Linked DNA regions of Lepisosteus oculatus. The protein of the gene in region 4 purifies or fractionates together with the protein of the main gene of each other region. This does not show direct contact. Links are inferred from orthologs where the notes say so. Each region holds a gene or a part of one and is shown on either strand. Other genes may lie near its edges. The genes, in order: polr1e, csnk2a2b, polr3f and polr2eb.

Region 1 (7,970 bases), on a different chromosome or scaffold from region 4:
AGCATTGCGTTCATTAGCAAAGTAGCCCAGCTGAATCTATAGCCGGGACAATAAAATGGAAACATGGCAGTGAATATCTTGAGAAGAAACTAAATACAACCTTGCTTCCCCCATTCACAAAGCATTAGAAGCAGTCGAGTATCAAGAGATCAGATCACTTTAAACACTACAGTACCTTTTCTCTGTAGGACTTATTCTTGTGCTCCAAGGCGTCAACTTCAGTTACAGTTTCACCTACAAATATGCATGCAAGCATGTAAGTATTTTTGATAAATCAGAAGGATACGCATTAGTTTTCCAAATACAGAATAGACAACTCCAATGTCTAAGAAAAAGGCTGTTAAGGCAGCAAAATCTGTCCCCGCTGCCATCGATAACTACATGGATTTTAAACGTTAGAGGTTTAGACACAACATTAAAGATTTGCAGTATGTCATATGGGAAAATAAGCGTTTTAGCAAACTAGGTGCACTACCCAACTGATTTGGAGACATCAGCATACCTGGAATTACTGGCTGCATACTGAACAGCTCCACATTGTGCACATTCATTGTCCTGGTTTTTTTGTCCAGAACACCCACATAGTACCTGGGGAATGAATACATCATGCGTTAGTGTAGCGAAAGGACACAGGTACAGTGTTTGGTCACATGACCCCAACAGAACTGTGTAGAGAAAAAGCTTCTCTCAACTTTTGTTGACTTCATGATTGCATTCTCTCAGAGTGCAGTTCTTCACTGGTCAAGAAGCACATATGTATACATCCGTAGAAATTACTTTTCAGATCCGGGACATTTTCTGAAATTTCATCAGCAAGCTTTAGGGAAACATCTTCCACCTGCAAAGACTTACTTGCAAAGTGTGTTACATTTCAAGGCTTCAGCTCCATAATTATTCCCAACGTAGCAGAGCCTGTCTGTTTCTGCAGCCTGTGACAAAACACAGGAGACAGAACCTGAGTCATCGGGATACCAATCTAATATTAACCTTCATCTATTCGTCATTTTTCAATAACTGCTTAATACAAGACCGGATCACAGTGACAAGGGAATTTACATTTTTTTAGCCGTTAACAAAATTCCAAAATTGGTTATAGAGAATGGCCCCTGCAAACCATTTTGCTATCAAATCATTTCCGATTTCAGTTTGTATATATTTATACCGGGTGGAAGCAGTTTATTTGTGGAAACTATGGAGTTTTGCTTTTTTACTCGAAAATGTACTCAAGAACATGCACATACTGAACAGCACAACAGGGTTTAAAGGGTTTAATTAAGCAATTCAACTACTTACATATTAGCGGACAACAATGACAATAAAAATGCAGTTGTTAGATTAAAGTGGGCCGATACTTAAATCTGCAACTACATTTAAACGTACCAGAATGCGCCTGTTCTTCTTTCTTGGATTGCTGAGATCAGTGTTTCTGTATAACGTGAAGTCGACCAGGTCGGCGTTTCTGAGTTTGCCATTGGAAAACTGAACTGCAGAAGAAGACGTGGGAACCAGCTATGATTAACTAAGAATGTAAAAAAACTCAGCAAGGCATTATTTCGGTCTCTCAGACTAAGACAATCACCACAACGGTCAGAAAGACTCCAGGTTTACACTATAATCGTCTACACTATAATCTATCGTTTTCTTTAGTATCGATCTAGAAACCAAAGACCTTCAGGATTATACACCTAGACAACCAGAGCTGGAACTCCTTGAATTTTAAAATTAAATTAAACTTATTGAGAAGGTTTAATCATAAATTACGTTTATCCAAAATCAGCTTAAGTGTAAAACGTGCACTGACTTCACTCACAGTCGTTTTACTACCACGTGTACGACCAACATTGCAGCAGAGAAAATATATTTACGAATACGATTTTTTTTTTACAGCCGGTATAAACTGGAAGAGGCGGACTGTCTCCGTTTTTGAAGCAATTCGCGGTATACCTATTGCGGCAGGCGGCCGTTCCTCCCGTTCCTCCCGTTCCTCGTTGCAGTGTTTCCAAACATAGGAGGCTGCCATTTCTGTGCTCGGCCCTGAACCCGAAAGCGACTTCTGAGCCGGCGGGCGTCAGCGGCGCTTATAACCGACAGCGCCCCCTAGCGGCGAACTCCGGCTCTACACCGCCCACTCGGCGACAAACTGGCTTGAGTCGGGCGTTTTGTTTGCCATCGTTTGGAAGGCCTTTCATTCACGTTTCAGGTCCATACGGTTGGATGTGTTGGGATTTGTACAATACCGGGAAGAGAGAACATCTGCTTTTGTTCGGTTGTTTCAAAGCACAAATAAATAATAAACGTATGTAGTTCCATATAGGGTTCCAGTAAGGAGCTGTATTTTTTTTCCCCAACGGGTACAATACACAGCTACTATTAACAAAAAAAAACAGCATAACAACAAATGAGTTATTTTCTTAGTCTCTCTGACACTCGCACCAGGTTTTTAAAAATCATATCAACAGCACTAAAGTCATCAGATACAAAATAACATGCCAGACTTCACAAACCCCAGTCCACCATCAATCGGTCCAGAAGTTTCTAAACGCCAAAACATTACGAGGTACAGTAAGGTGGTCAGAGGAGTCAGAAACGTAAACTTCATTGACATTTGAAACCCTCGTTGAGCATCTTCTTGGGGATTTGTAGGATCGTATATCACAGGATTCGTTTTATTCAGGAAATCGCTGCTCGTTTTCCATTTTTATCAATACTCCAATCCCTCTGACTTTTTTATTTAGGTTCCCCTGTCGTGCTGTAGTGACAGTTTTGAGCCTCAGGAAGAAACGGCGGTTGTCCCGGCTTTAGCGGATCAAATACAGAGCCAAAACAACAAACGTGTGAACCGTACGACGTTGATCAAGTGGAGGATATTTATTTTTAAAAAAGTTTAGTAACCGGTCATGAATATTAAGCAGTTTCCTAATTTAGTCGAAACGCTGCTGGTGTCCAGCGTCTTTTTTATTCATGACAGGAACGTACCAAAAAACACACACACACACACGAAACACCACAAAAATAAACCCCTATCCTACTGAGTTGCAGCCCGGCTCTCAATCGTTTGGGCTGTAGCTACAACAAGCGAGGTGCTCTGTAGGTTTTTTTTTCTCTCTCTCTCTCCGGGTTTTCGCGGCTTGTTTCTCCGGCCAGTGAGAATCTGCCGCCCCGGAGTGAAATAACGGGCCCCCGGCGCTGCGGTGCAGCAGTCAGAAAACGTCACTCGTCTGGGATATTGCTTTCCCGTTCCGGTTTTTGCAGATTTGCAGGAAAAGGAGGGGAACTTTTTTTTTCCCTCTCTCTCTCTCTCACTCGCTTTCTCGGACTGTTAACCCCCCTGTTCCGGGGAAACTACTTTTGTTGTTGTTGCTGTAAATGTCGTTTTTGGACAGCGGAGGCATCGAGTCCGGGTACATGCTAGAGGGGATATCGTCGTCCTGAATCACACAAGGTAGGCTTTGCGATTCCCAGTCTATTCCCAGTTTTATCCTGGGCAAGCCTCCCCAGTGCACGGCAGCACGCAGGCGCTGGATTAACAACACAGACATCAGACAGACTGGTCCTGCAAGACAGCGAAGAAAAGGGAGGAGAAGACCCCCTTCGTGGACAGGATTTCTCTCCGTGTTCAATACATCTGAAGACGCACAGGACGGGAAAAAAAAAAACGCCTCTGTTATCCGGCCTCTCAGTTGGGCTTCATGTGATATGTTCCCAGGGGTGTGCTTTGTTCTGATCTCGGGTAAAAGGTAACGTGTGTGTGGTCTTTTTTTTCCCCCTCCTGCTGTTGTTTTTGGCCAGTGACACAGATCAGAAAATAATGTAAAGCAGACCTGTGTGAGACGGAGAGAGAGAGAGGGAGACAGACGAGCCAGACGAGGCTCCTGGATGCAGAGCCGAAAGCCTTTTTCCTGGGGGGAGGGATAAATACAAACACAAAACTGAATAATATCGTCTGCATGAGGGAGATACCGACAATTAATGGCAGCTACTGTATTCTGTTTATCTGGAAGTAAATACCTCTGTGGGTTTAACCTTTATCTACGAGCCGAACGAATTTGATCGGAACAAATCATATTATTTCGCCGTTTCAGGACCAATTTAATCTAATACGATCTGCAAACTATGCCCGCTTGCACGAAGTGATGGATCCACAAGTCCGATAGGAAAAGAATAACCGAATAGAAGTAGCTGCATATCCTCAGCCGACGGCGATGTGTGCTTTTTTTTATTTAAAATAATTGTGCCAAGTCTTCGAGATCGCCAGTCTGATTTTGCTGAATTTAACATTTTTTTGGTAATGCATCCTCAGTGTAGTGCGATATCGTTACAGAGTGCATGGTGATATCTCACAGCGATATACAGTTCGGGGGGCGAGGCTGCGTTTGGCAGACGTTACCTTGAATGAACCTCTCTCGGCTGAACTGATTGACAACACGCAGCCCGGAGGTTACGCCGGGCTCTGGGGCGCCTCTTGCTCGCCCAGAAACCCGGGGCTCCTGGCCTGACACCACATTCGCATGCTTTTGACTCCATTTGAGAGAAGGGGGCAGACTATGAAGGTGTTGCTCTTGTTGTCACAAAGCAACGCGATGTTTCAGAGACTTGGACTTGATTGCGTTTGCCCCTCATTGGGGGGGGGGAGTCGTTTTCAAAAAGTGTTTTATACGTGGAGCCAAAAACATACTTTCGACGTATGTGTGCATCTTGTCTTGGACCGGGGGGGTGACTGTAATGTAATTTGGTGGATGTGTAGCTTTTTGAAGTAAATTCACTGTGAATTCTTATCCCGTCGTTTACATAAATGGGCGAATTAAGATGTGAAAGATAAACATGATGTCAAATGGAGATCCTTTCTTTTGTGTTTTTTTTTGTATTCATGCTCTTGAGTATAGTAGCTGTTTTCTTTGCGCGGGTTGGAATGTAGAGAAACTAGCATGCAGAAGAGCTCCTGCTTATTCTTACTTCTTACCGCCTATATACCCACGAAGCAGGGTATTTCACCAGTAGAGATTGTGTAGTCCAGTCATTGTTGTAGAGAGGGTTTGTTCTTATCTGTCTAAATAAAGAAAAATATTAGAAATGTTCGGAGCCATACAGAACAGCACTGAAACATGAGAAGCATCAATCCAGTTTTTTGTGGTGAAACACTTTCCCTGATATCCAAGGTGCCCTCAGGATCTGCCTTTCCTTGAGAGACAGTATCTATTCTGGAGCCCAGGAAGAGGGTATACTGCGTTATTGCTTAATCAGTATATAAACTGGCTAGGAAGTGTCCAGAGGCCCAGTCAGGTCCACTTCCTGTTCTGGTTTGCTCCTCTCCGAGGGGAGGTGGGAGGGACGAGAGATGGTGGATCACGGAGTGTTGGGCCTTTAAGTGATTCATGCCTGTTGGCTGAGGGGATGTGGTTTGTCCTGGTCCTGAGGATTCGGAGGCACTGGAGTCTGTCTGTCAGTGAGCGTGGCGCTCTGAAAGAGTTTACTGTCTACAGTAGTTGAAAGATAAGCAGCCCTACCACATTCGTGTCAAACGGAAATTACTGTTTTTTTTTTAGAATTGAGTGTATTTTTTTTTGTACTTTTAGTTGTACTTTGTGTTTTTTGATGAGGGAGATTTATCCATTTAATAAAAGGTGGAGCATAATACAAGTGTGCAACAATTGTACAACAGTTTTAAATACAAAGCAAATAAGCCATACAGCAGTGCTGTTGTTTTCCCTGTCACTGGGCAGAGTAGCAGTGTTTTCTTTTGTTTGTGGCTTAATTACAATACCTGAATTACTGTAAATTGTTGTTTGCTCAAGAAAGCTAAATCCTTGAAGCAGCTGGAACCTTTTACAGGCAATGAACTAAGAAATCTGCAGAGTGCAGGACTAGTGATGAGACCTTTGCGTGTTACTGTTAAATCCGACATATTTCATACTTTTTCTTTCTTGTAAAACCAAAAATGCAAGATGAAAGCTGTAAAGATGAATTTGGAAACCTACAAGAGTGAGCTTTCTTTGGCAAGATATCTCCAGGTGTATTTCAATTTCAGTCACTTTGCATAGACAAATGCTGCAGATATTGAAATATTTCAAATGCTTTTTCTCTCTGGTCAGATTAATTTGTACAAGAGTGTGCGGCTCATGAAGCTCTCATCTTTCAATTGGCTGTGCAGAGGAAGTCTTCATTTCCATCCTCAGAGCTCTGCTACAGTATTGGTGGATACCAGTAGCACTGTCTGGACTGTATAGAATAGGAAAGGGCAGTTTGAACTCAGAACTAGCTATGCATCAAGGAAAGTTAGTTCTGGATAAATCAAATTGCAATTAATCCAGAAGCTTTGTTTCAATGCACTGCCTAACTCTAGGTCTGTCCCTATTCTTGTATATATTAGACCTAAAACATAATTAACTCTTCATAAAAGTCTTAATGAAAGATGAACATAGTCTAATTAATATATAGTTGGATTATGTGATTTACAAAATGTTCTAACAGTAAATGACCTTTGGAACTGGTGGCACCTCCTTCACTTGCAATAACTTACACTGGATGTGTACTGTAACTGTTTATCTGTCACTCGTATCAGCTGTGAGAAATGTGGCCCATTCTTCCTTACAGAACTGCTTGGAGCCTCCATGAACAGCTGAGCATGAACAGTTTACATCAGGTCCTTCTATATCATTTCTGTAGGGTTTAGGCCAGGATTTTGACTTGGTTATTTTTCTTCTTCTTCTGCTGTTGGTGTTATGGATCTGCTTGTATGTTCAGAATTGGTGTCCTGTTGCATGAGCTGATTTCAGCACAGCTGCAGCTGATGAATGGGCAGCCTCACAATCTCCTCCAAAATATGCCGATACAACACAGATTTCATTGTTTGTCAATGATGGCAGGTCATCTGGTCTCGAGGCAGCAAAGCAACCCCAAACCATGCTTGACATGTTGGGGTGAGGTTCTTCTGTTGGAAGACGGCTTCTGATTGTTTTTCAGTCTCGCCAGAAAGTTGTACTTTTGACATAAGTGTCCAGAGTATCTTCCTGCAGTCCTGTGGATTGTCCAGGTGATCAAACCTTTCATGGGTGACGTTAGAGAGCAACGATTCCTTCCTGGCTATGCTCCCACGAAACCAGCTCCAGTTCAGGTTTTTTTCTGATGATTGAGGTATGAACGCTGACATCAGCCGCAGAGATTCTTGGGTTTTAGTTTTTGTGACTTCCTGGATGGGTTTTTCGAGTTTCTGTTGGGAAGATCTTAGAAAGACACCCAGTCTTGAATAGAGTTATCACGGTCTTGAATATTTTCCACTTGTAGGCAGGAGGCTCACTTAGCCTGATGGGAGATGCAAGGATCTCACCCCGCTGTTTCTGACAGGGTATTGGATTCAGAAAGAAGGCTGTTTGGTAGCTTGTTCCACATTTCTCCCTGGTGTCTGGGTGAAGAAGTGCCTCCTGTTCTAAGTTTTAAATGTATTTGCTCATAGTTTCCCCTTGTATCGTATGGTTTGTTGTCACTGTTTGCTCTGAGGAAATGCACAGGATTGACAAAGTGAGCATAACTCACTGTAACCACTGCGTCTCTAGAGAGACCATAAGAAAAGCTTGTTTAAATAAAAACAAATAAATACTCATACGTATTAAATAAGGAAATTCTCTACAATCGCTTACAGGAAGTTATCTTCAATTTCTTGGCTGTTGTTAATGGCTTCTGTTTGTCTACCTGCAAGCAGTCGCATCTATATAAAGTTTAACTTCCTGTGTATTCTATGAATCTTCTGTAGGTTGTATACAGTAGGTCGAGGCATTGGAACCAATAACCTTTACCCCAACTTAATGCCTCTCAAGAGTATATAGTAGTGATAAACCCCCTCTTGGCATGACATGATCCTTTTTTCAGTACATTTCGTAAACAAGGATGCACTGTGTTCTGCACTGAATCACGGCAGAAGACAGCTGTTCCTCAGAGTTCGGCCCAGGTCATTTCCAATTTTTAATTCTGAAATG
Region 2 (7,577 bases), on a different chromosome or scaffold from region 4:
TTACAATCTTCATCACTGCACTGGAACGATCAACGTAGAAAGCAGATGTCAGTGACTGGGAAAAAAGGGAAGGAAAACCCTAAAAAGGTGAACAATGCAGGCCTGCCTCAGGCCACCCTACTGTACCTCAAAGAAGTACACAACAGGCCCAGGCAGCCTAAAGCCAGACACCTGCTGTGAGCTCCCGGTACAGTCATTGGTGCTTTGCAATGTCCTCCATTCAACACAAGGACAATGTGCTTCCTTAATTCCAGTATCTCCCAGTGAAAATCACAAATTTCATTCATTTAAGTGGGTTTTTTTTACATTGAATACCCCCCACGTATACAAAGAAATTAGAAGCTAATCAACAATGCCTTGTTTAAACGCGTTTTTAAAAAACAACAACCACCTACTTTTAAAAAGAATCTTCCAAAAAGACCACACCGCCTGTGCTCTGTGCTCAGCTGTGGTCTTCGGTGACTTTTGGAAGCTCAAGAGCGGCGATTATTTCACAGCCATAAAACCGGACAGAAACAAACCCACACACAGCTCCTGAGGTATAAATAAAATTGGTCTTCCGGGGACTGCGGGTAAGCAAAGAAACTTCACGGCCTGATGGAGATGAGAATTCCTCTGCCATCGATTAGGCAGCACAAATCAGGTGCCAAATTATTCCGACTGTGCGTTGTGCTCTATTTGTCTAGCTGCCTCTACAGCGCCGGTATTACAGTCCCCCCCCAAGAAACAATTCAAGAGTTTAGGTATGACGACGAATTAAGCATTCACGGAGTCCAATTTTAAATGCTCGGCGGTTCAGGAAGCCGCACTGGAAGGCCTTGGCAAAAAGGCTGAAATGGAAACTTTCTAAGCCGGCTGCTGCGCGCTATCTACCGCGTCCAAAACGCCCGGGGTCTCGGGGTCCCGGGGTCTCGGCGCCCCCCGTGTTTTTGTTTTTTTTTCTCCCCCTGCGAGTTTCCTTCCTCACCTCCAGCTGGGCACATGTGCCTCGTAGTCCCAGTACTCCCGGCTCTTCAGAGTGTTCACGTCGGCGTACACCCGAGACTTGCTGCCCGCCGCGGGGCCAGGCATGGCTAGCCGGGGCGAGGGGGTCTGGGGAGCCGCTGCGAACGAGGGACAGCGGGCGGTTATCGGAGCCGAGAGGGGGCCGTCTGAGCAGGGCGGGCGGCTCCCGCCGGGTACCTTCTCCGGGGAGGTCTGGGCGCAGTGTCCGGAGAGCTCACGGCAGGCAGGGATCGTAGCCCGGAGAGCCAGGCAGAGCGGGGACCCAGGCTGCAGGACGCGAACGGCGGCGGCGGCGGGGAGAGGGAGGAGGAGAGGGATCGCCAGGGTAATCAGCCCGGTGAGGAGACGGAGCGGGAGGCGAGCACCTCCGGAGGCGGTGGCGAAACCCGCGCAGTCTGGAGTTTCAGGTTTTGAAAAGTGGGGAGAGGGGGGACGGGGGTGCCGTGAAACTACTGACTGCAGGCGAACCCCCCCATCCCGCTGTGGGCCGCGAAACCCTTGATCCGGAGACAGGGAAGCCCGCTGAGACTCCCCCGGGGTCCAGGCCCTGCGAGAGGCGGAACGGATCCTCGGGTGGAGGGGGGGGGATGGGGATGGCGCCGGTGCCGTGGATGTTGACGAAAAACGGTCTTACAATCCAGTACTACGGGTCTACAGGATGTATTCAACGCAAAGCCGGCGTGTGTGTGTGTGTGAGTTGAGGGGTGGTATGGGAAGGTGTGTGTTTGCGGGTTGGGGGGGGGGAGGAGATGATCGGCGCTCTCGCTGCCCGGTGGTGATCGAGCGGATCGATGGCCGCTTTCCCTCTGCGCCCCGGCCGGCGGGACCCCGAAAGCCTGCGAGCGCCGTCCAAGCCGCTGGAGGAGAGCGGGGAAATCGCTCCGGAGGTCGGATTCGGGGATCTCTATGGGAACCCCCCTCCCCCGGCCAGTACCACAGGCAACCGGATTGCGGCAGATCCACCCGGAAACGATCGCAGCTTCGCGAAGATGGATGCGACCATAGACGAGCGGATTACGACTAGACAGCGCCGGGCCCGACCTTGTGGCGGTGAAGAGCTGCCGACTTCCGGCAGGGCTTGAAGAAGAAGAAGAAGAAGAAGAAGAAGGGGGGGGGGTCTGTACTGCTTCGGTGTGAGCCTTGGAAAAGTGTTTCCTGCAAATGCTCGAATTGAGAATCAGGCTCCGACAGCAATAAAGTTAAACTGGCCGTCAAGCCCCCCTTATCGGTCACTGCATTGAAAGAGGCTGGCAGTGTGTTCAGTAAAGACAGGCGTGTGCATGTCGTCTGGTTCAGAATTTACCGGTTCTCTCGTTTTTTTTTTAAATCTAAACCCAATTCGGAAGCACTCATACGAGGTCAGAGGACGCGTCTAGCTCATGAAGCACGTCGATTTGTTCCAGCTGATCGCATTGCTCCTCTTTAATCCTGGGGCGTTACGAGACGAGCTTTTTAAACCGCCCGAGAAACTGGCTCTTACTGCCGCCTTTCACGGTTTTGGAACAGGATTCAGTTATCACCAACACGGTCATACCTGCAAAAATAAAATAATATTAAATAATATAGTGTTACGCCGTTGTTAAAGTGGCTAGGTACAATTAATAATATACATTTAGCCTTATTCTATTCTTACCTAATAATATTCACCTCTTCATTTAATAAGGCTGTATGGCTTAAAATTATACATTAATTTCGTTTTAAGGGGCATTTTTATAACCCTGACCAGCAGGGTTTTAACATATTGTTAAATATTGTAAATATCCCGTTTTCTCGTGGCTGTACTGATTTATTTTTTTAAAATATATTTTTTTAATGTACTGAAAGTCATTAAACCGCCACAAATACTATGGCTTCCAATGTCCATTTGCTGCATTTTTAATATCTCTTAGTCAACGTTAGAAGCAGAACTGAACTTCGCTGTGTCCCTTTTAGCATGCGCAACCTTGCACGCAATAGTATAATCCTCTCTCTGACAAGAGCAGCGCTACCGGGCTGTCAGTGGCCAACCTTACCGCCGCCTACTGGAAGGGAGGAATCCGGTCTGCAGGTGCTGCAATTAATAATAATAATAATAATGTTAATAATGTTTCTTTATTAGCCCTATACAAGTTCTTGCATTAGGAATTCGTCTTTTCGCATACCCCAGCTTTTCTCCAAGGAGACACAGACACACAGACAGGGAGAAGCTTGGGGTCAGAGCGCAGGGTCTGCCATTGTACGGCGCCCCTGGAGCAGTTGGGGTTAAGGGCCTATTTAGGAGCCCTGGAAATGAAATATATATATATACACGCAGCGCCATTCCTGACATATCAGCTCGAGGCTCTGGAGTAAAGACGTTAGAAACGCGCAGATGGACGGCATCAAGAGTCATTGTATAACAGTATAGAGGGATTTTTCTTTAGCTCACCGGGCTGGGTCCCTGTTGAGTAACGCGGAAGTCCCGGGTTCGAGCCCCCGACGGTGGGGGGCCGACCTAATGCGGCAAGGGCCCCCGCATCGTAAACGGAAGTTTAACACTGGATGCTACATATTGGCAAGATGGAGGGTAATATATTACACTGATTTGAGTTCAAAATGAATAAGACGTTGTTGTTTGTTACCTGGAAACCTGCTTGCTATTGCAAAGGTGTGGCATTATTTATAAGTGACGTGTATCGACCGATTTTATTGATGTATAGCGACACATTATTTTTTTAATGTCCCTATTATTTGTTTCAAGTTGCAATCTTCTCTACCCACACAGTGGGGCAGTAATGTATGATTCAGTGACATTAACTCCTGGTCATGGAGGGCCGGAGTACAAGATACAATGAATCGTGAAATAAGGAAACACTTGAAAAGACCGGCAATATTGACACTAAATTGTCTTGCAAACCGCGGTGGCGTCATCGCCTGACGTCACGCGCCGTGTGTGACGTCTACGCTGGTTGCCAACTTCAGCCTCGCTTGTTTATCCTGGCAACCATGGCGGAGGCAGAGTGCGAGTCCCAGGCAGACGACAATCCGGAGTTTTCCGAGCTCGGGGCGCACGAATTGGTGTTGCTCGTAGAAGAACTCAGGTACTGTAAATAGAGAGAACCAATCGGTGTGGAAAATGTGGACGAGGGGAAGTTCGGATAAGGCGTACACCCTGATGTACACGGGATAGCTTGATCAACAGCTTCTGAAGCTAGTCCAGAGCAAGATTGACGGCTCAGAGGGTACTTTTGTTTTCAAGCGTTAAAAGCTCTCACATTGAAATACCACAATACAAAAACAAAATACCTGCAGCTCCTGCGGTTGGTCTGTCTATCCTACTATTCTGGTTAGGAGCACATAATTCCATGCACACTTATTTTTTAAAAATCACTTCTTTGAGATGTCGTGTTTTCTTTTGAACTGTATACTAGCTGAGCATTCTAATTCAACTTTGCATGCAAGAGAGAAGGCAAGGTACGAACGACAAGGCAGGAGAGGTGCTCGACTAATCTCTAGACTGCACCTCAGCTTCCGATTGCTCGTGTAACCAGGAAAATGCGCACAGCTCGGGTACTGTGTAGACTAACACTAGGCAAATGAAAGTGAGCTGCGCCAAACGGCAAAAACAGGTGTTTAAACGGTTGAGGGCCTTATAACCGCACCGGTGTCGTATCCGGTAATTCTGACCTAAATCCCGTCCGACACATGTGTGACCGCAATACGCAGCACGTCTTGCAATAGATAGATACTTTATGACGCCTACGTGGGCAGAAGGACGTAAAAGTGCGCTACGGGTAGGAAACCAGTAGCGTGAGGTCGCTGAGCTTGAGAGTCACTTCCTAACACCGGAGAACGCACGCGTGAGCAGCCCCTGTCCTGCCTCTTGTGTCGCCAGCCGCTCCAATGGTGTCCTCAAGGCCGAGACGGAGATGTTCCAGAGGTACATCAGCCGCCTGGACCCCAAAGACCTGGCTCCGGCGGCCGCGGCGGAGCCCACCCTGGGCGTGTCCCAGGCGGAGGTCACCCAGGTATGGTGGACATGCCCGTGTGGGGCGCCCCGGCTGTCTCTGCCGCAGTGGGGGGGGTTACTTGGGTCTGTCTCCGATCTTACAGCAGCACCTGTCAGTGAGCCGAGATGTGTCATTTTAGGGATGTCAGAGCCCAGATCTCGTACTCTAGACGTCTTGTTCGGTTTTCTTCTTTATTTTTTAATGACTTTAGTTTTCCATTCTCACCTTAAGCATTTCCCGTGGATTGTGTTGCTGCAGGGAAGGGCTGCTTGCTGCACATAGTGATTATCACACCTGCAAAGCTGTCTGAAAAACGTTAACTTTCTCTTTCCCTTATCCTTGAGGTACAAGGACACCATCATGTACTTGTGGTACATTCACACACACTTTTTAAATTTTGGGGGGTATTTTTGGAGGCAGTTTTTAGTAGAATTGACAACATATATGGAATTAAGACGATAAAGAACAACGTAACCAGAAGCCATCAAAAAGAGCACTACTGAGAGAGCGCAGGGCACGCAAACCCCTAGCAAGCGCTGGAGAATTCAGGTTTCTTATTCAGTTCCTGGCACATTTTGAGTCAGTGAAAACAAGCTGTCGGCATCAATGTGATGTCTTTCACAACACACACGAGGGACTCTGCGAACGTTGCCCCCAAGCTTCGGGACAGTAATGAAACGGTACATCTGTCTGTCCTGACACGCGTGAACCCGCCGCGTTTCGTGGAACGAGAAGAGGCCCGCCGTCGTCATAGCCAGCGCTTCCCACGGCTGGCCCTGACGCGGCTCGGTCTCGTCCGCAGGGCCAGGGCCAGGCCCGGGGCCGGAGCAAGTCCAAGAGCCGCTCGTTCACGGCCGAGCGGCTGCAGCGGCTGACGGTGGAGCAGAAGTGCGACGTGGCCCAGCGGGAGCTGGAGGAGACGAGAGAGGACCTGGGCAGACTGAAAGAGGCCTCGGAGCGAGTTCTCAACAACTACAGGGTAGGAGCTGGGCGCAGTTAAAGCGGGAGGGAGATGTAACGCTATTTTCAGAGTCCGCTGTTAGAATCTGCATGGATGAGCGCATTTCAAACCACAATTAGAGTGCAATGTACACAGTAGCGTGTAAACCTCCAATTTTCTGCACAAAATAGATCCCATGTCTACGTTTGCGCAGCACCATGATCTGCGATTTAGAAGGAGGCGACCAAACTCTGGTGAGGTGAAGCGGCCCCATTACATTGTAAAGAAGCCGGCTTGTGAATACATCTCTAAAGCCAATAGAAATACTGCTCTCGATTTCGAGACAGTTTGCTGAAAATTCAACTTAATTGTTAAACTCTGCACATTGTAGACATTTTATGGAACATCAGATTTCCATTTCTGCGGTAAAATGTCTGCTGCACAACCTGTACGTATTCACTGGTACATCCCATTACATTAGCCATTACAGTGAATAGTGAGCAGGAAGGGCAGCATCATGTCACAATTTGTGGGAACTCGAGTGTGAGTTTATGACAACATCCAGTACTTTCACTAAGTTCACAAATTTGTGCTTAATTCAGAATTTCGACATTTTTCCCCTATAATGTCAATGACTTTATTTTGTTACCGAGATTTAATAACCAGTGTGAGAAACTGGGACTGCAGTTCTCATTAATAACTCGCCTGTGTGCCAGCTGTCCCCTAGGCTGCACAGACCCTGGCTGGTTCTCACTGTGTGTTGTGCTGTGCTACATCAGTGCTTCCGGTTTACACACAGAAACAGCTGCCATGTCCAGCTCTAGGTTATGATATCTGCAGTGCTTTGAGAATCTGCTAGATGAGATGCTGAGTTAACCACAGACATTTTATGGCATAGTAGTGTACAGGACTCCTCTCACAAATCTCTAAGAATGTCGAAGTCAGGGATCTCTGGGCTGGTACTCTGAATGGTAGTTTTTCATGGTTGAGCTCCAACATGCTTATCTCTTGCTGGGGGTGGAGCTGCATGCCTTTGCTTGTGGCTTTTGCCATTTTTTCTTGTTACTGTGTTGACCTCCCAGGCCACTACAGAAGAGGCTGATATCCGGCTGGTGGAAATAAAGAAGGCCACGTATGAATTTGAGCGTGATGTCGCCCGGGTCCTGCAGGAGAAGAGAGGTGTCATGATGGGGGCAGAGAAGGTAGTGCGGTATATCGAGGACAGAACCAGGGCAAAGGTGAGCAGGCACAGGACGTGTGTGAGAACAGGCAGGGTACAAAGACTGGGGTCCCAGCCAATGCAACAGCCTGGCCATTAAGTAGGACCTTGATCTGCAGCTTAAAAGAGAAAAAAAACAGGGTATTTGCACAAAATAGTGCATTTGTGTTATTGCTGCAGATCTTTGAGTGGCATGCCTTTAATTAGTTAATTGTTCAGTTCATCTCTTAGGTTTTTACTCTACAAGTTGGCACGCTTCCATTCCACAGAGTATTAGTGTGTCCTCGAGGCTGCTGTCTTAGTGACATCACGTTGGAATATCCTCGAGGCTAGGGACTGTATCACTCACGGCAACAGGACATACATTATTAACCTTGAGACAATGGCAGCACCTAGGATTGGCAGTTCTCAGCCAAATGGATGTGTGCAGGACCAGACAGAAGTA
Region 3 (8,354 bases), on a different chromosome or scaffold from region 4:
GACCACTGTAATCAAAATTCCTTTCCACTAGAAATATCTTTGAGTTAAAGATCTATCTTTAATGAAGACACTGGGCATGTTGGTAAATAATAAAACAGTTTTAGTTATTAGTTCTTTTCAAAGAGCCCAACACTGCACGTATAGTACTAAGGACATCAGCCATGCTGAGCTACTGGTTTGGATTTTCTGTTTGTGATGAATTAGTGCCTCCTGGTGGTGCCCCAGAGTTACTTCTGTCAGAAACCTGAATATCCTAGTGTGCCCCATCCCAGTACTACCTGACCTGCTCCAGCCCTGCTTAGCTTCAGAGACCTGAGGAGGTGAAGCTTCTAAGTGGCAATGAATATAGACAAGCTGTGTAACAGTTTTAATACGTGTAATCTTACTAAAGGTATGTTCTCTGTGATTCTCTTTAACCAAAGATTATTAATAATGCAATGCAAAAAACACACTGAAAATATATGACAAACTCAGGTCCATGGAGGTCTGCAAATATGAACCAATGAAACTGAAGCATTGTACTCGTTCACTTTCAAAGAACAGCAGTAGTGCAGCCCACCGATTCACTCAGAACTGTGAAGCAATGCTACCCCACTCGCGGCCTCAGTGCTCCAGTTTCATTTGTGCTCTAGATAACTAAGTCAGACTATGACGTTCAATGATAATGATGGGACATATTAAGGATTTTGACAGGTAGGCAGTGGCTTTCAGCTGAACAAACTCCTGATGTCAATCTGAAGAAGTGATTGGAAAACAAACGGCTCAAGGCAAACAACTGCTCCATATGAAGAGGTTATTACAGTTGCTTAACCTCCTGTTCTCTCATGTCTTCATCTCCTACACAGATAATTAATGTAACGTCTACAGTTACAGCAGTGCAGCAGTGTTGCCGTTAATGTGGTGAAGCACATGTGCAAATGAGCAGATTTTGATTTCCACAGCAGAAAGCTCACCTTTGTTTCCGGCATCCTCTATGACCTGATACACCAGCTTCTCCTGGTTGTCTGAGCCCTTCATCTTACTGGTGAAAAGAGGAAATTTCACTTTAAATCACTAGCATGTGATTTAAATCACTAGCACACAGGAGTACATGAATGATGATGAACTGATATTCAATTTAATCATATAACCAAATGCAAAATGTTACGATATAGGTGTCCATCAGTGTAAGTACAGACAGACAGTGCATTTTCTTTAAACTCACTGAGAAGACATTATACAATGCTGACCACCTTACATTACAAAGAGAATCACAAATTCAGCTTGCACGCATAAGACCTATTTCCTTGACTGAAGGTCACTACAGCTCTAGGCAGACTCTAAGGTGGCAGAAAATCTGTGGTTCACTTAGTTTGTCGAGCCTCTTGAACACTGCTACATAATCATGAGAAACATTTTTACCCTACTGGACAACTCTCATTTTTGAGTTATGTTACAGTGATTACACTAAATACCACACAGTTGAAGAAATATCTAACTGCTTAGAAATAATTTCTGTGTGCACAAAGAAGTCCTTCTATGGCAGAGCAGTACAGCGCCAAAATGTCACCCTCTCAGACTGGAATACAACTTCAGCTTTCTACAGAAAAACTGCTCATCTCCAATTTTAGTTCAATCAAAGCAGGGTCTATCACGTCCAATGGTGTTGAGGTAAAAGGTATGAGCACCTGGCCACCTGTGCGTCTTTCAGCCTGTACAGAAGACCATTGCTGTTTCTCAGGAGGTCCAGCTGACCCTGAAAGATACAAGAGACAAATCTTACATATTTATCATCCAATAAACAGATATCAAGCAGCTTCTCAGCATGGAATAAACTCCTTAGATTTGTTTCCCTGTGTGTCAATTATTAATTTCCTGCATTGAATGTACAATTTTAGGTCCTCTGTCTTTCTATTGTCTGAGAACAGCAGTATTAGGTGAAAAGAAAGAAGGAGAAGGCTCAGTTTACGATCCCCACATAATAACTGAATAGTTATCACAATGTTCCAATAACAGGAGATTATAAAAAGATGTTTAAAGGCATCTTAATAATCTGCCAAATACCAACCATTGTACATTAAAATAAATGAGTAACTAATGAATGAAATGGAAAATAGTTTGGAAACAAACCATTCCTCTTCCTCTAAACCAGCGTGGTCTCCCCAGTCCTTGACAGGAGCGCAGCGCTAGCTAGTGTGCTGACAGCAATGAAAGAGGGTTTGTGGGATGTACCATGGAGAGCAGCCTGTTGATGGCCATGGCCCGCTGCTGTGGCTCCACATGCGGCATGTCGTTCTGGATCACCTGGTCTGTAATTCCGTGCGGGAACTGCTGGCACAGCTCCTTTATTCTGGAAGTCGGGAATGACTGAGGGTCAGTTATCCAGGTTCTCATGCTGTCATTTCTCAGTTGTCCTCTACGTGTTTAATGTACAACACGCCGTATTTAAAGCTCCTTGAAGGACTGCATACAAAGTTTTGGTTTGGACAAATTATCCAACACTTAGACAAGCAGAACCCAGCAAGACATTACAACAACTCGGTACACGTCATATAAAAGGAGACCTAAAATAATCTACTGTTGAAACGCATAGCCTTCCCTGCTCTCAGAAACTATTGGACGAGTTCCTAAGATCGATCAAATCCATTGTCCTAACGATCTACACAGAGCCCATGACCTCTCGTTCGTGAACTGTCTTATTGTAACTTGTATCTTCAAAACTGCACGAGTTACAAAGGTCGCTGCATTTAAGAATATCGCGACACTTTCAGCTCCAGCGAACTTCAATTTTTAAAATAATCTAATTCTAAGGTGAAATGGCGCTAGGCAAAACCACGTGACTTGAACACTTTATTAATCAACGTAACAGCCTAAATATTTTTTTTTTTGTCGGAGACGGTGTGTAACGTTTCTTGAGCGTTTTTGTCTTGTTAACTTCGTGTTGACATACGGTTAAAAGAAGACAAACCTAACCTGTTTTCAATGTCCACGGGATCCGCAGATTCTTGTTTTACCTTAACTTCTGCCATGTTCAACTGACAGAAGAACACAACTGAACTATCCAGTAATCCCTAATTCACGATGAACTCCGGAACACCACCTCTATGTCAACACAGCTTCTCTAGGTGGTAACCATGCTGCATTTCCGAAAAGGTTGGGGTCCTTCTACCTCGTGTCGCAGTTTTAGTAGTCTCTCTGAGTGCCTGACCAAAACGTGAAGTTAAAAAGCCTATACCGCGTAGGAAATCTTTCAAATATTTTTTTATTTTATGTTGAAGTGCACGAGAAATTAAGACTATTTAAACACCCAGACATAATTTAATTGTAATACAATTGTATATACGTGATGTACTTTACGTTTGTAAAACAGATACATGAGATGCATTTTTAGAATATATGTTTTTAAATTGATCTTTAGGTTTAATCGGCTTAATTAGTGATTTAAAGATGATATTTGTGTTATTAGTCTCAAGAATAGGTTTCAATAGCCAGCAGCCAGATCACCCTGCAACTCACAACTGGAAACCCACTGAAGCTCAGCAGGTGTGAGCCTGGTCAGTACCTCCTGGAAGAGGTGTTAGTGGTGCCAACAGGGGGCGCTCACCCTGTGGTCTATGTGGGTCCTAATGCCCCAGTATAGTGACAGGGACACTATACTGTAAACAGGTGCCGTCCTTCGGATGAGACGTAAAACCGAGGTCCTGACTCTCTGTAGTCATTAAAAATCCCAGGGCGTTTCTAGAAAAGAGTAGGGGTGTAACCCTGGCGTCCTGGCCAAATTTCCAATTGGCCTTTACCAATCATGGCCTCCTAATAATCCCCATCTATGAATTGGTTTCATTACTCTGCTCTCCTCCCCACTGATAGCTGGTGTGTGGGGAGCGTTCTGGCGCACTATGGCTGCAGTCGCATCATCCAGGTGGGGGAGGGAACTCCCCATTACCTGTAAACAGCTTTGAGTGGAGTGTCCAGAAAAGCGCTATATAAGTGTAAGCAATTATTATTATAGGTTTCCACTCCATGTGAATGCAGCTTTTACATTAGGTGTCCGAGCTTTGCTGTTTTAGCAGCCATTGGTCCGCTGGTTGCTAGGGGCCAAGCTGTCCTCCAATGGGATTCTGAGCTGCGCTGTTGTGTTGGTTACCGTAGCGTAGCTGGTTGCACGCAATTCTGGTGCGGAGCGCGACTGCACAGTCCGGTCATTGATTGATTGTATATGTGCAGATATTAAATTAAATAGGTACAATTTATTTTTTCTTGGGATTTTAAAATATACATCATCGCAGTTCGTGCGGGGGACGAATGGAAAGATCGTGAAATCACCTTAAATCCATATCCAGGATTTGTTTCGCCTTCAGCTGGTAATTGGAATAAGAATGCACACTTGTCGTGTTTTTTGTACGCTTAAAATTGATCGGAAACTGATTCAGAGGTAGCCCGACAGTTTTCCAATTACAGTTCTTTTTAAATAGCCTTAAGATCAGAAAAAGAGGTCTTTAATTGCGTGTCCCGTTGTGTGACGTTGAGTGAAGTCCTGACTGCTTGTTCATTTGTTCATGACAGATTCCAGCGCTGTGTGTAAGAGCAGGGCTGTAACCCTCAGGTTCGGGCTAAGTTCCGCTCTGGGTCTTCACAGTCTCACAACCCTCACGCTCTCATTAATTCGGTAGCTGAACTCAGTGAGGGGCGTGATGGGTCTCTTCCTGTGTTGAACGATCCTTTTGGACCCTTTGTGTAGCAAGATGTTGTTTTCTGTACTGATACTGGTTCCAGTGGATTATTATTATTGTTGTTCTTATTGTTATTACACAGAGCGATCTAGACCTGAGTAACTTGTGAGTAGTTTTCAATCATACATGGTAAATATCTGCCTCCTTCATGCTGCCTTGAGTGTGCCGGTCATATAAATGAATTGCATTAAATCATAGGTTTGGAACGTTTTGGTTCAAATGGTTTATTTAAAAAGAAAGGACAAAACAGCCAATCGCTTTGATCAGCAGGTAGAATATCCTACAGCTGCTGTATCTGCCCTCAGGAGCCCCACACTGCATGTGCATGTAAAGGACTGCTCAATGCGTGGTCCGAGAGTGTTGTGTAATGCAGCCCAGGGTTAGATCCTGGCTCAAGACACCAGGCCGGAGGGGTGCAGGCTGGGCTGGCGCTCCAGGTTGTGACTCCAGGCTGTGACCCCCACCCTGTGGGGGCTGCAGGATGGAGGTCAACATTCCGGCTTCACTGTCCGGATGAGCTTTTCCTCTCTCCGGCTGTCCTCTGGGATGCAGACACAGCTTCCTGCTGCGCTGGCTGCAGGGCGTGTTCTGTCTAGTTCTGATCCTGGGCAGGATACCCAGGCACAGCTAGTGGAGAGGTTCGGGTTCGGGGTTTGGAGGGGGTGTCTGGGTTTCTGTGGAGAGAGTTGTGTTTTTCTGGAGCAGGACAAGAGCAGTTCATGCCTGGGATCTGGTTCAGCACCTCTACTGGCCTGGGAAAAGGGGTACTAGCCTTGCTCTCACCAGAAGCAGTTTTCCGAAAATGAGAGAATGGATCCTTCTGCATGGAAAATAGACGAAAAACCAGACCTGCCCTGTAGTCATGAGTGATCACAAATGAGACGCTGTATTATAGACATATACTGTTCTGCGTCACTGTCTGCTGAGTGCATGAAAACTATGCATCTATATTTGACTGGACTTCTACTTTTCCAGGCTCAGTTCGACAGAGCTGTCGTTTTCTTGAGTGAACATGACGGCAGGCTCGATCGTGGCACCTCAGATCATTCCCATCAGAATTCCCCTGCCTGGCAAGGCCAAGCACCAGATAGACACCAACACACCCGTGGAGATCAAGTCAGGTAAGAGCCAGGAGCACCAGGTCCAAAGTCTTCATCGTGGAACCATCGACGTCCTGCCGGGGAGCTGCTGTGTTTTCTGGGATTTTGCTTGTCTTGCTGAACATCCTCCAGCATGTTATTCAAGTCACTGGAAATGCCAGAGGCTGCAGTGATGTCCTGATAATGTTGTGCAATTTTTTTCTCAGGTAGATAATAATGCTGTACCTTGTAGAAACTGACCTTTATATAAGGATATCCTCCACATGTCAGTCGGTCACTCTCCCACTAAAACAAACCAATCAGTTTCAAAACGAATTGATCCAATTCAATGGAACTTCCTCAGCTGGAGTTGCAGGCCGTGTGCAGAGGCAGTGCTGGCCAGCAGACCTGTAACTCTCTGCAGGGAAGGGATGGCAAATGGGATTCAGGGTTTTCTCTACGCGACGAGGGGAATATGAGGGACTAGGCTGGTGTGTCAAATTTGAGTGGCTGACGAGGTTACAGCACGTCTCCTTCACAGACACCCCAGACGTCAGTATTTTCTTCACCCTGGACGGCAGTAAACCGGAGGTGCTGAAGAAGCCGGGGTTTGGAGAGAGCAGCACACTGCGATACCGGGGGCCCGTAGCCTTACCTGAGGGGAAGGTAACGGTGAAAGCACTCGCTGTTAGCAGGTGGGTCGCAAAGGAAGGTCCAGGGTGCTTCTGGCCCCCTCCCACCGAACCAGGAAGTTTGGTTTAGAAATCCTGATTCAGAGAGAAAAGAGGAAATAGCGCCACCTACTGGTTGACACCTCCAGTAACAGCTTGATCCTGATACCTCCCATCCTAGCACTGACCTGGCCTTGCCCTGCTTATATCCCGGGAGATAATGATGTTAGAAAACAAAGGAGGATCAGCTGTTAACTAGCAGCCTGAAAGTGGTTGATTGCAACAAGCAAGGACTGGGCATTAGTCAAAGAAGTTAGCAAAGGTGCAGGAGGCTCAATGTGGACACCCTGATTTGAAGTTTCCAGCTTCTGTAGAGTGCAGTTAGAATGTACCTGTGTCACTGAGGTGTCCAGAGCCTTCAGACACTCTTACACTCTCTCTGCAGCAGCTGTTTGCAATTTAAATACCAGCCTTCTGAAGGCTAACATGTAAAACTTTGCTTTGCTGCTTTCAGATTTTTAGTTAAGTGCTGAATTTGACAAAGTTTTGTGTTTCCAAGTAGAATATTTTTGTTATGTCTTGTGTGTGCAGTTTGTTTCAGGGGCATCTGATCACCGTGGTGTCACCAAGAAGCTGAGCTTCCTCAGCCCTGCACGTACAGCGGTGCTGATGACGGCGTGTTCTCGTTGTGTTTCAGGGATGGCAGGGAGAGTGCAGTCGTCACCAAGTTCTTCCTGGTAGAGTATCTTCCTCCTCCTGATGACCCAGCCTTACTTGAAGATGATAAAGACAACTTTCTTGAAGAGTACACCCAGGACACGGCCCGCGACACTGCCTGGGACACGACCCGAGACACTGCCCGCGACACAGCCCGGGACACTGCCCGCAAGGCAAGCGAAGTCTCACCCGTCACAACTCGCTCCAGCGAGGCTCTTAGACACAGACCTGCTGATGCTGCTGATGCTCGAGTGTGCTCAGAGTGAAGTTCTCTGGTCCTGGCAGGGTGAATCAGTGAGACCAGGGCTCAGGTCTTTGTTGCTGCTGCAGTGCACAGCCGTGCTGGTCTCACCACACTCTCAATGCCTTTCCACCTGCAGGAATCCCTGGAAGGAAGCGCTTTCTTTCCGGGCGGGAGAAGAGCAGCAGGCAGCGCCTGGGAGGAGACGGCACAGAAGCTCCAAGGTGTGTTTGAGGTTTCAGGCAGAGTGGACGAAAAGCTGCTGTGCCTCCCGGAGAGACTGCTTCAAGATGCTTAAGAACCTGGTCACAATCACTCTTGAAGGAGGCCATGTCCACTAATCCTTGTTCCTCTCTGGACAGATCAATCGGCAGACAGATACACAGGTGGACAGATCAGTGGGCAGACAGATACACAGGTGGACAGATCAGCGGGTGGACAGACACACACACACACTACAGGACTTGTCACAGTGATCTGTATCACAAATCCACTGATCTAAACAGCAATTTTAAAGCCTGTGTTTGCAACAGACATGCTAATTAAGAAGATTGTTGTGGGGTTGGCATGCATTTTTACATAGCCAGAAAGCCATTCATCTGTAGTCGTTTCCAGATTTACATTGAATGTGTGAGCGTTACAGTGCAGCACTAAGACTCAGACTCGGCATATTGTCAGTCTTGTAGCACCCAGGCTGTGATGACACATGTTGTGATGGATTTCCAGTGAACTCTTTGATCTGCTCTTCAGCTGACTCATCCTTCAATGTCTCTCAGCTGTAAAGATCCAGGGCCGCCTCTCCCACAAGCCTCCCAAGGGACCTCACTACCTGACCACTCGCCTGGGTCCCCTCTGGCCAGGCTCAGAGCCTGTCTCCGCCCTGTCCTCTCACCGGCTACAGGTACAGCAGGCACCATCTGGGTGGGACAGCAGTTGA
Region 4 (7,984 bases):
CAGCAGTAAATTCGATTAGTCCAAGGAGCCACAGCTGACTCAAAGAAATCCCCAGCTCAACCCGTTTTATTCTGGACCCTGCCCATCCATACAGCTCCGCATTAGTCACCACTTCAAACCGGATTCGCCCAGCTGATAGAGCTGATCAATGTCCTGCACTGTGTGTGGACTAAACCCATGTAACTGCAGAGGATCCAAGCAGTTCAGCGAGCAAAACATAAGAAAAGATACTGTTATCTTCCTGTGCCCATGACAGCCTCAAGATAAACACATTACAAGTCATAAAGCTTGCTGGAACCGAGGACAAAGGTTACAATACATATTTAGGAAGATGTCCCAACACTAAATAACACTGGACAGCGCTGACTTGACAAGACCACACCCACAAACGCACACTGGAGAGCAAGACGTCTCCACGTCTCACATTCGCGTTCTGAGAAAATGGGGGGAAAAAAATCCAATCATGTGAGCACTGAGGAAGCAGACAGGCTCTTGGGGATATTTCGGAATTGGACTAAAGAGTCAAAATGCTTCCTCGCTTCTTCCTGAAAGCCTGTTTCAGCCACAGCTGGCCTCCTGCAGTTGGGCCGGCTTCTCTCGAGAAGTCTACCTATCCAGAACCTGCCTGTGAAATACTCTCGTGCTCACAGTCATGTCCTGTTACCTTAGAACATCCCGTCTCCCTTCTGAGCAGCACAGATGCCCATTCCAAGCCGATCCATCATTATCGATATTGAAACTCCATTGTGTAAGAGATGCTGTGGCACATTCAGCTGTACCACATGGCGTGGCAGAATAAGAAAAGGAAGGGCAGCACAGTGGCGCAGGTGTCAGCAGTGCTGTGTCACACTGCTGGGGCCCTGGGTTCAATTCCTGGGAGTTTGCCGTCTGCGTGGAGTTTGCACGTTCTCCGTGTGTTGAAGTGGGTTCCCTCTGGGGGCTCCGATCTCTCGCCACATTTCACACGGAGTGGGAGGTCAACTGACTGGGCCCTGGTGTGAGTGTGTGCGTGTCGGGGTGTGTCCTGCGATGGGCTGGCGTCCTGTCTAGGGGGGTACCTGGACCTCCTGAATTGGATGAAGTGGTTAGAAAAAGTGGTGGATGAATAAGAAAGGTTACAAAAAAAGAGAAGGGCATTCAGCAGATCCAGTTCATCTGGTAATCAGCAGGTAATCGATCCGAGGATCTCTCCCAACTGTTTCCTGAAATTAGCAGGGCATCAGCTTCAACAACATGGCCGGGTAGCATGTCCAACACTCCTACAACCCTTTCTCCCATTTTTAGTTTTCAATGCTCTTCCATCATGATGCATTTCCTTGGCTTGTAGCCGCACTGGTGTCATAACGAAGAGCAAATGTTTAGCATTCTGCATCCTGGGTAGTTTTGGGGAAGGATATGGATTGCTCCTTGTTATAAAAAGTATTTTCATAGGATCTCATGCTAGACGTACTGGGGCAAAGGTGTAGTTAAGACTCTGGATTCCTGACAAGAGGATTGCAGGTTCAAATCCAACATAAAGGCACAGCTGGCATAGACTTGAGAGAGTCTCAACCTGAATTCCTCTAGTTCATTTTTAATATTAAATCTAAACCAGCTGCAATGCAGTTTATTTGCACATCCTTTTGTTTTTTTTAAAAAAAGTCATCTCGGTTGTTTGCAAGCGCCACAAACACTAAGCTTTAAAACTGCAGAGAATAAAAATGTTTTTTCAGTCTGTCCCTGAAACTTGAGGTTTCTTCCACTCTGTGACACTTCTCAGTTGCCCAAGACCCACACACACACAGTTCTGCAATTACACCAAGCCTACTGCTGCTATTAATACTGAAGGAAAGTTAAGCAAACATGCAATAAGCTTGCAACACAGCTGAAGACTGAAAAATTCCAAGATCGGAGGCTGCCTGCGTGTAACTGAGAAAATTACATCTTCGTGACCCGAGAAAACCAGAGCCTCGCAAACCCCTTTTAAACGTTTCTGGGGTAACGGACGCTTAAACCACTGTCAGATTTCACCGAGTCGTCCACACAAACACACGCTTGAACAAGGGGAACTCGCACCAGCAGGACACGAAAACCAGTTTAGTATCAACCGCAGGGCTAAAACGGTTTCTACCGCCTAACCAAGACACGAGTTCTTACACACTTCATAAGCGTGCCCAGAAAGACAAGGAAGCCAATTATCTTTAAACACATATGTGTGTGTGTGTAACTGGCAACTGCAGGGCAACCTCTGATGTCCGTCTTTAAACGAAAATTTAATTTAATAGGCGTTTCAAAACAGCTTGGCCTTCTTTTGAGACATTTATTCAGTTACTAGAGGGGGTGGGGGTGGGAGTAATAGAACCGTAAATGTAGAGGGGGTTAATTGATGGCAGACTCCAAACACTGACTTTTGCCCCACGCACACGCACGCTCTCGGCCTGCAGAGAACAGCCGTGGTCAAGCGCGCGACTGAGCTGACGTCAGGGCGAGGGCGCGCGCGCGCTGGCGGAATAAATAAATCAGTTTTCTGAGAGCTATTGACTCTATGCAAATGAAGCGCTTCTCACAATGCTCTCCTGTTCCACTCGTTTGTCAGGGCTAGGAGCAAAGCCCACAGCTCTGATCATGCCATTTGTTTTGCAGCAGTTGGATTAGAATCGAAGAGTCTCTGGGCAGCAAAGCTATTCTGCCTCTCGAGAGCCTGATATTTGAGGCAGGTCTTCATTTGTGCGATTGGTAAGGGCTTGTAAATGAACCAAAGGGCGCACTGAGAAGCAGTAGAAGGAGAAATCACGGGTCACTGTATGCACGCAAGATAGAATGAGTTACAGATCGAATAATCTGTAACTCATTCTGTTACTTGATAGTTAAATCGCCCAAAACCGCCTTTCTAATGTAATATAATCGTACTTGTCGCGTTTATTGTCGTTAAATGACGTTTTTAAATCATGGATTGAGACAGAAAGATCATCACAGTCCTAATTAAACTTGATTCATTGCTACAATGACGTATGTTAATAATACAGGTGCGATTTTAAGCAATAAAAAGATTTTTAAGGACAAGGCTCTTCCCGCATTGTTGTTAAGTTTTTTTGTTTGTTTTTGCTGCCTTGCGGTTTCTAAATCGCACGCAGCATTCATGGTGCATCACCATCCTGCGGATTACACACAACCTACCCAAACAGACTCCCAAGATCTTTACAATCATGAGGCGAGCGACAGAGGTTTCGGCAGAAAACACCAATGAAGGCCCGCTCCACCGTCTGCCTGAAAAGCAGCACAGCAGTAAAGCCCAGTTCTCACAATACTGTCGCCACCTGCTCTCGACACCGCAGTTTCCGTCATGTGCAGAATGACGGGGAACCAATAATAAAGGATATTTAGTGCACTGACGTGATTCATGTCTTATAGTATTAGGCGTGTGTATTGCCAGAATTATAATAATTAATTAATAATTGTTTACACTTATATAACGCTTTTCAGGACACTCCTCCAAGGCGCTTTATAGGTAATGGGGACACCCCCTCCACCACCGCCGCCAATGTGCAGCATCCACCTGGAAGAATTAGGCTAGTGCGCACCAATATCATTACTTAATAGTTTAACAGTCACGAGTATTGCAAACCCTACAGTGACAGAAAATGACCGTACGAAGCTTCACTGATCTTCTTCAAAAAAGTACTGCTTACTGACTCAGCGTATCTAAAAATATCGACTTCGAAAGCAACGAAGTGTAGGACCAAGCAAAGAGACAGATAATCACACAGGCAATCAGATTACAAACAGAACGCGAATGCCTTACCATAGCTCGTACAATCGCTCTGCTCGCCACCAGTCCGAAACACAGAGACCGTGTAACTATCTGCATCGCCCCACGGAGACTTAACTCTCCCGGCCAGGGCCCGCCCCGGAAAGAAGACGTTGGGGTCTTGGGCTATTTCCGGTTCAAGCAACTGCCTCACTGGGGTGGCCATTTTGGACCTAGTTCCTCTCCAAAGGGACGCGCAGAAACTAGCGCTGTCCCCGAGCCAAAATGGCAGCAGTTCAAAGCGCTTTCCAGGTAATGGGGACTCCCCTCCACCACCACCAATATGCAGCCCCACCTGGATGATGCGACGGCAGCCATAGTGCGCCAGAACACTCACCACACATCAGCTATCAGTGGGGAGAAGAGCAGAGTAATGAAGCCAATTCATAGAGGGGGATTATTAGGAGGCCATGATTGGTAAAGGCCGATGGGAAATTTGGCCAGTACGCCGGGGTTACACCCCTACTCTTTTGGAGAAACACCCTGGGATTTTTAATGACCACAGAGAGTCAGGACCTCGATTTTACGTCTCATCCGAAGGACGGCGCCTGTTTACAGTATAATAATAATAATAATAATAATAATAATTGCTTACACTTATATAGCGCTTTTCTGGACACTCCACTCAAAGCGCTTTAAAGGTAATAGGGTCTCCCCTCCACCACCACCGTCACTATACTGGGGCATTAGGACCCACATGAGCCGCAGGGTGAGCGCCCCCTGCTGGCCCCACTAACACCCTAACACCATGTTGAACGATTATTTTAGGTCTTTATTGGACCTTAAAAAAATGGAGAACTCAGTAGTACGTGGAAATAATAGCTAATAGCACCTTTTGGCTCAAATGGGCTTCTAAAATAGGTCATAAGCGATTTACTGATCTAATTGTCAAAAACGTAGTGCTATTATTTAAGAATAATACGATTTAAATATATTCTCAGATAAGTACGAAAGCTGATGGTGAAAATTACAGGCAAATGCTTGGATGCCAGCAAGGGGTCCATTGTGGCGACGGAGCGACGGAAGTCAGCTTGTTTGCGCGAAAGGAGGAAGCGTGTTGGAGGAGAGCGATTGAAGTTTTTTTCTGTTTCTTCTGAAAACAACGTACAATGGATGATGAGGAGGAGACATACAGATTATGGAAAATCAGGAAAACTATCATGCAGGTAAGAATGGAGCGAGTCATTTATTCTTTCCGTAAAAAAAAAAGAAGATAATTTGGGTATGCGCCGGTGTTCGCGTGTAGCTCTTCCGTGGGACACGTCTAGCCCCTTTCACGATCTCGGAATTGTACCATAAAAAAAAAGTTTTTTCAAAGATTAAAAAAAAAAGGTATTTCTCAGCCCGTGGTGACGGCTGCTGTGTGGATCGCCTTCTAGCTGTGTCATGACCGGGGTTACCTGGTGACCCAGGACGAGCTGGATCAGACCCTGGAGGAGTTCAAGAGCCAGTTCGGGGACAAGCCCAGCGAAGGCCGCCCCCGCCGGACGGACCTCACCGTGCTGGTGGCTCACAACGATGACCCCACTGACCAGATGTTCGTCTTTTTCCCAGGTGGGAGTTCGGAGTGCTTCACACCCACATGTACACATAGTCGCGCCACGTACGTCTAAACCAACGTTTGCCAAGCAGATCATCAGGCAACAGTCAAATATTCTGACATGCAAGTGTTGGCGACATAGCCAACGTTTAGAAACTTCGTGTTCGATCTTAATCACTCTGGGAGCCGTCAGGGTCCATGCCTTGCTGACTTCTCGTTCAGCCCTCTGTGTGCCTGGGAGATGGAACAAACTGTGCAGCACATCCTAGGGGATCCACACTCAGTGGAGAACTCCTCAGCACAGCTGCACCAGAAGCTATCGCTGGCCCCAGGGACTTTGCATGTGTTCAGTAAACTGTCCACAGGACTTTAACTGTAATTGAACCCTCAGAATCTCTGGCATGTATAAGGGGGGGTCTCAGATCTCGTCCAGTGTTAACTTCAGAAGAGCCTCTTTTTACTTGGAGAATGACCAGGCACATGTGCTCTTTCCACAGAGGAGCCCAAAGTTGGCATCAAGACTATTAAGATGTACTGTCAGCGCATGCAGGAGGAGAACATCACACGAGCAATCATCGTGGTGCAAATGGGCATGACACCCTCTGCCAAACAGGTACAACCCCCCCCTTAAAAACCCCCCAGTATCGCTCAAACCTCGCAGTTAGCCATGTTCACTTTCACCTGATCCTCCGTTAAACCAACATAACATGTTTAACCTGCTGCAACATTCGCACTGTGAGGTGAGGACATAAGATCCTTTCAAGTCCACATGCAGTTATATATTTAGATCGATAGAGGTTGATATTTTTTAGCAGAATAAGGGATGGAAGTTAATTTAAATTAGCAAGACTTCTCATTCAGTGAACACGCAGAGTTAAGCGGGAGATGAAAACAGCGAACATGAATAAAGTGCAGTAACGTTGTAGAAACTGTAAGCCCAAGGTGACACAAGCTTTGTTTCCAATGAAGGATGACATCGGTGATCTGAGACTTGTACCCATCGTGTGAGTAAAAGAAGCACACAGTGCCCACTAGAGGGGGCAGGGGGGAAGGTTTTGACGGTGGTGTGGTGTTTCAGCTGCATTGTTTCCTGTCCTTCTCCAGTCGCTGGTAGACATGGCCCCCAAGTACATCCTGGAGCAGTTTCTCCAGCAGGAGCTGCTCATCAACATCACAGAACACGAGGTGAGGAGAGCTTCAGCGCAGGCATGGCGAGCTGGCCCCAGAGCTGCGGCTGCCCCCACTGCCAACAGCACTGTGGAACTCTGGAACAAGCTACCCAGCCTTATTGTTGAAGCTGTCGCCATGGTTTCTTTCACAAAACAGCTGGACGAGATCCGTCAGTCATTTAGCTACTAAAAACTGTACAGATTAGACCTTGCAGAATGGCCTCCTCTTATTTGTAACTGGAAGAGACTTTGATCTCTATTATTTTTAAGTTAATAACTGCAGATATCACATTTGTCTCTTGACGGGGATAAATGTAGTTATGAACTGGCCGATGCTTTTAGCCAAAGCTGCTTTTGTGCCAATTTGTACAGGAGGGTGTTTTACAAGAGCGGTCTGAGTGAAGTATCTTGTGCAAGTCGTATCTTGCACAACTGCAATGCCCCACGTCCTGTGACCCCTAATGTGTTCTTCTAAATATTTCTTTTCGTTTCTGCTGTTTATTATATGTATGCCGTTGTACAGCACTCTGGGTTGCTTGAAAAGAACTCCTGAGTAAAATTGCATGAGGTTCAATAAGAGACGTGTATTATTTACAGTTGTGTACCTTTTGGATTATCAAGTGCAGGGAAAAAAAATCATACGTGTTTATATAACGGAACAAAGGAAGTGTAAGAAAACGGGGTTCGGAGCTGTTTGATTTTGCTAGTGCTGTGTTTTCTTGTTCTGCTGTGCTGTCAGGACTATGAGCTGGTTTCCCTTCTGCTTGTCTTGCAGCTGGTTCCAGAGCACATAGTGATGACTAAAGAAGAGGTGACGGAGCTGCTGGCTCGATAGTATCCTTCTCGCGCGGTTTGACCCACATGTCTTTTTCACACTCGGCTCACCGTGTGCTGTTCCGAGAAAAGCAGAGAACGTTGTCTTCTGGATGTTCTGGGAGTTGTGCCTGACAATATCGCAAAACATACAAATCGCCACAGAAGTCTGTCTCTTAGACTCTGCTAATTAGCACTGCTTTGCCTCAATACTTAACCCCTGTTCTCTGTACACTGTACTGGTGTCCTGTGACCTTTAGAGTGGACGTCCAGGTCATCCTGCTCAGGTATAAGGCGACACTGAACACTCCTACTGTGTGTTCTGCTGCCTCGGACCTTTGCTCTTAATACTAGGCTCTACACGATGGGCAGCAGAGCCTCTCGTGCAGCAGCTCTATGTGAAGCTCACTGCGCAGGTCCATTAGAGACTCTGCAAGGCCAGTGTTCTATGCAACTTGCTCTCATGGAGCGCAAGCTGGGGTCCGCGAAAAGACAAATTCCTAATACAAGAAATGGTATATGGCCCCAATAAAGTGATCCTATCTTATTAACAGTGGTGCAGCAGTTAGCATTGCTGCCTTGCCGCACTGGAGCCCTGGGTTAAATTCTGGACCTCTGCTGCTGTCTGTGTGGAGTTTGCGTGTTCTCCCCCATGTTCAAATGGGTTTCCTTCCA

What was found.
Region 1: the proteins of polr2eb (region 4) and polr1e purify together in Homo sapiens (affinity purification with mass spectrometry; 4 studies listed by BioGRID and IntAct, counting the BioPlex papers as one, with this or other methods). This does not show direct contact. The link is inferred for Lepisosteus oculatus from reciprocal best matches to the Homo sapiens genes POLR2E and POLR1E.
Region 2: the proteins of polr2eb (region 4) and csnk2a2b purify together in Homo sapiens (affinity purification with mass spectrometry; 3 studies listed by BioGRID and IntAct, counting the BioPlex papers as one, with this or other methods). This does not show direct contact. The link is inferred for Lepisosteus oculatus from reciprocal best matches to the Homo sapiens genes POLR2E and CSNK2A2.
Region 3: the proteins of polr2eb (region 4) and polr3f purify together in Homo sapiens (affinity purification with mass spectrometry; 4 studies listed by BioGRID and IntAct, counting the BioPlex papers as one, with this or other methods). This does not show direct contact. The link is inferred for Lepisosteus oculatus from reciprocal best matches to the Homo sapiens genes POLR2E and POLR3F.

The regions. Positions count from the first base shown.
Region 1 is NC_090696.1:67,217,024-67,224,993, reverse strand, and holds the start of polr1e (DNA-directed RNA polymerase I subunit RPA49), read right to left. Parts: upstream 3,080-7,970; 5' UTR 2,021-3,079; coding exon 1,945-2,020; intron 1,485-1,944; coding exon 1,381-1,484; intron 930-1,380; coding exon 853-929; intron 589-852; coding exon 503-588; intron 235-502; coding exon 176-234; intron 1-175. UniProt on the Homo sapiens protein: Component of RNA polymerase I (Pol I), a DNA-dependent RNA polymerase which synthesizes ribosomal RNA precursors using the four ribonucleoside triphosphates as substrates.
Region 2 is NC_090715.1:11,437,304-11,444,880, forward strand, and holds the start of csnk2a2b (casein kinase II subunit alpha'), read right to left. Parts: upstream 3,035-7,577; 5' UTR 3,018-3,034; intron 2,540-3,017; 5' UTR 1,183-2,539; exon of another isoform or gene 1,104-1,182; 5' UTR 1,072-1,103; coding exon 968-1,071; intron 1-967. Other genes in the region: cfap263 (cilia- and flagella-associated protein 263), read left to right, coding at 3,970-4,064, 4,859-4,991, 5,776-5,952, 6,996-7,151.
Region 3 is NC_090712.1:580,139-588,492, reverse strand, and holds the start of polr3f (DNA-directed RNA polymerase III subunit RPC6), read right to left. Parts: upstream 3,141-8,354; 5' UTR 3,009-3,140; coding exon 2,953-3,008; intron 2,330-2,952; coding exon 2,212-2,329; intron 1,736-2,211; coding exon 1,668-1,735; intron 1,022-1,667; coding exon 954-1,021; intron 1-953. Other genes in the region: dzank1 (double zinc ribbon and ankyrin repeat-containing protein 1), read left to right, coding at 5,722-5,830, 6,330-6,483, 7,157-7,349, 7,557-7,641, 8,194-8,318. UniProt on the Homo sapiens protein: DNA-dependent RNA polymerase catalyzes the transcription of DNA into RNA using the four ribonucleoside triphosphates as substrates.
Region 4 is NC_090724.1:6,669,098-6,677,081, reverse strand, and holds the start of polr2eb (DNA-directed RNA polymerases I, II, and III subunit RPABC1), read left to right. Parts: upstream 1-4,775; 5' UTR 4,776-4,896; coding exon 4,897-4,953; intron 4,954-5,166; coding exon 5,167-5,341; intron 5,342-5,824; coding exon 5,825-5,940; intron 5,941-6,431; coding exon 6,432-6,512; intron 6,513-7,271; coding exon 7,272-7,330; intron 7,331-7,984. UniProt on the Homo sapiens protein: DNA-dependent RNA polymerase catalyzes the transcription of DNA into RNA using the four ribonucleoside triphosphates as substrates.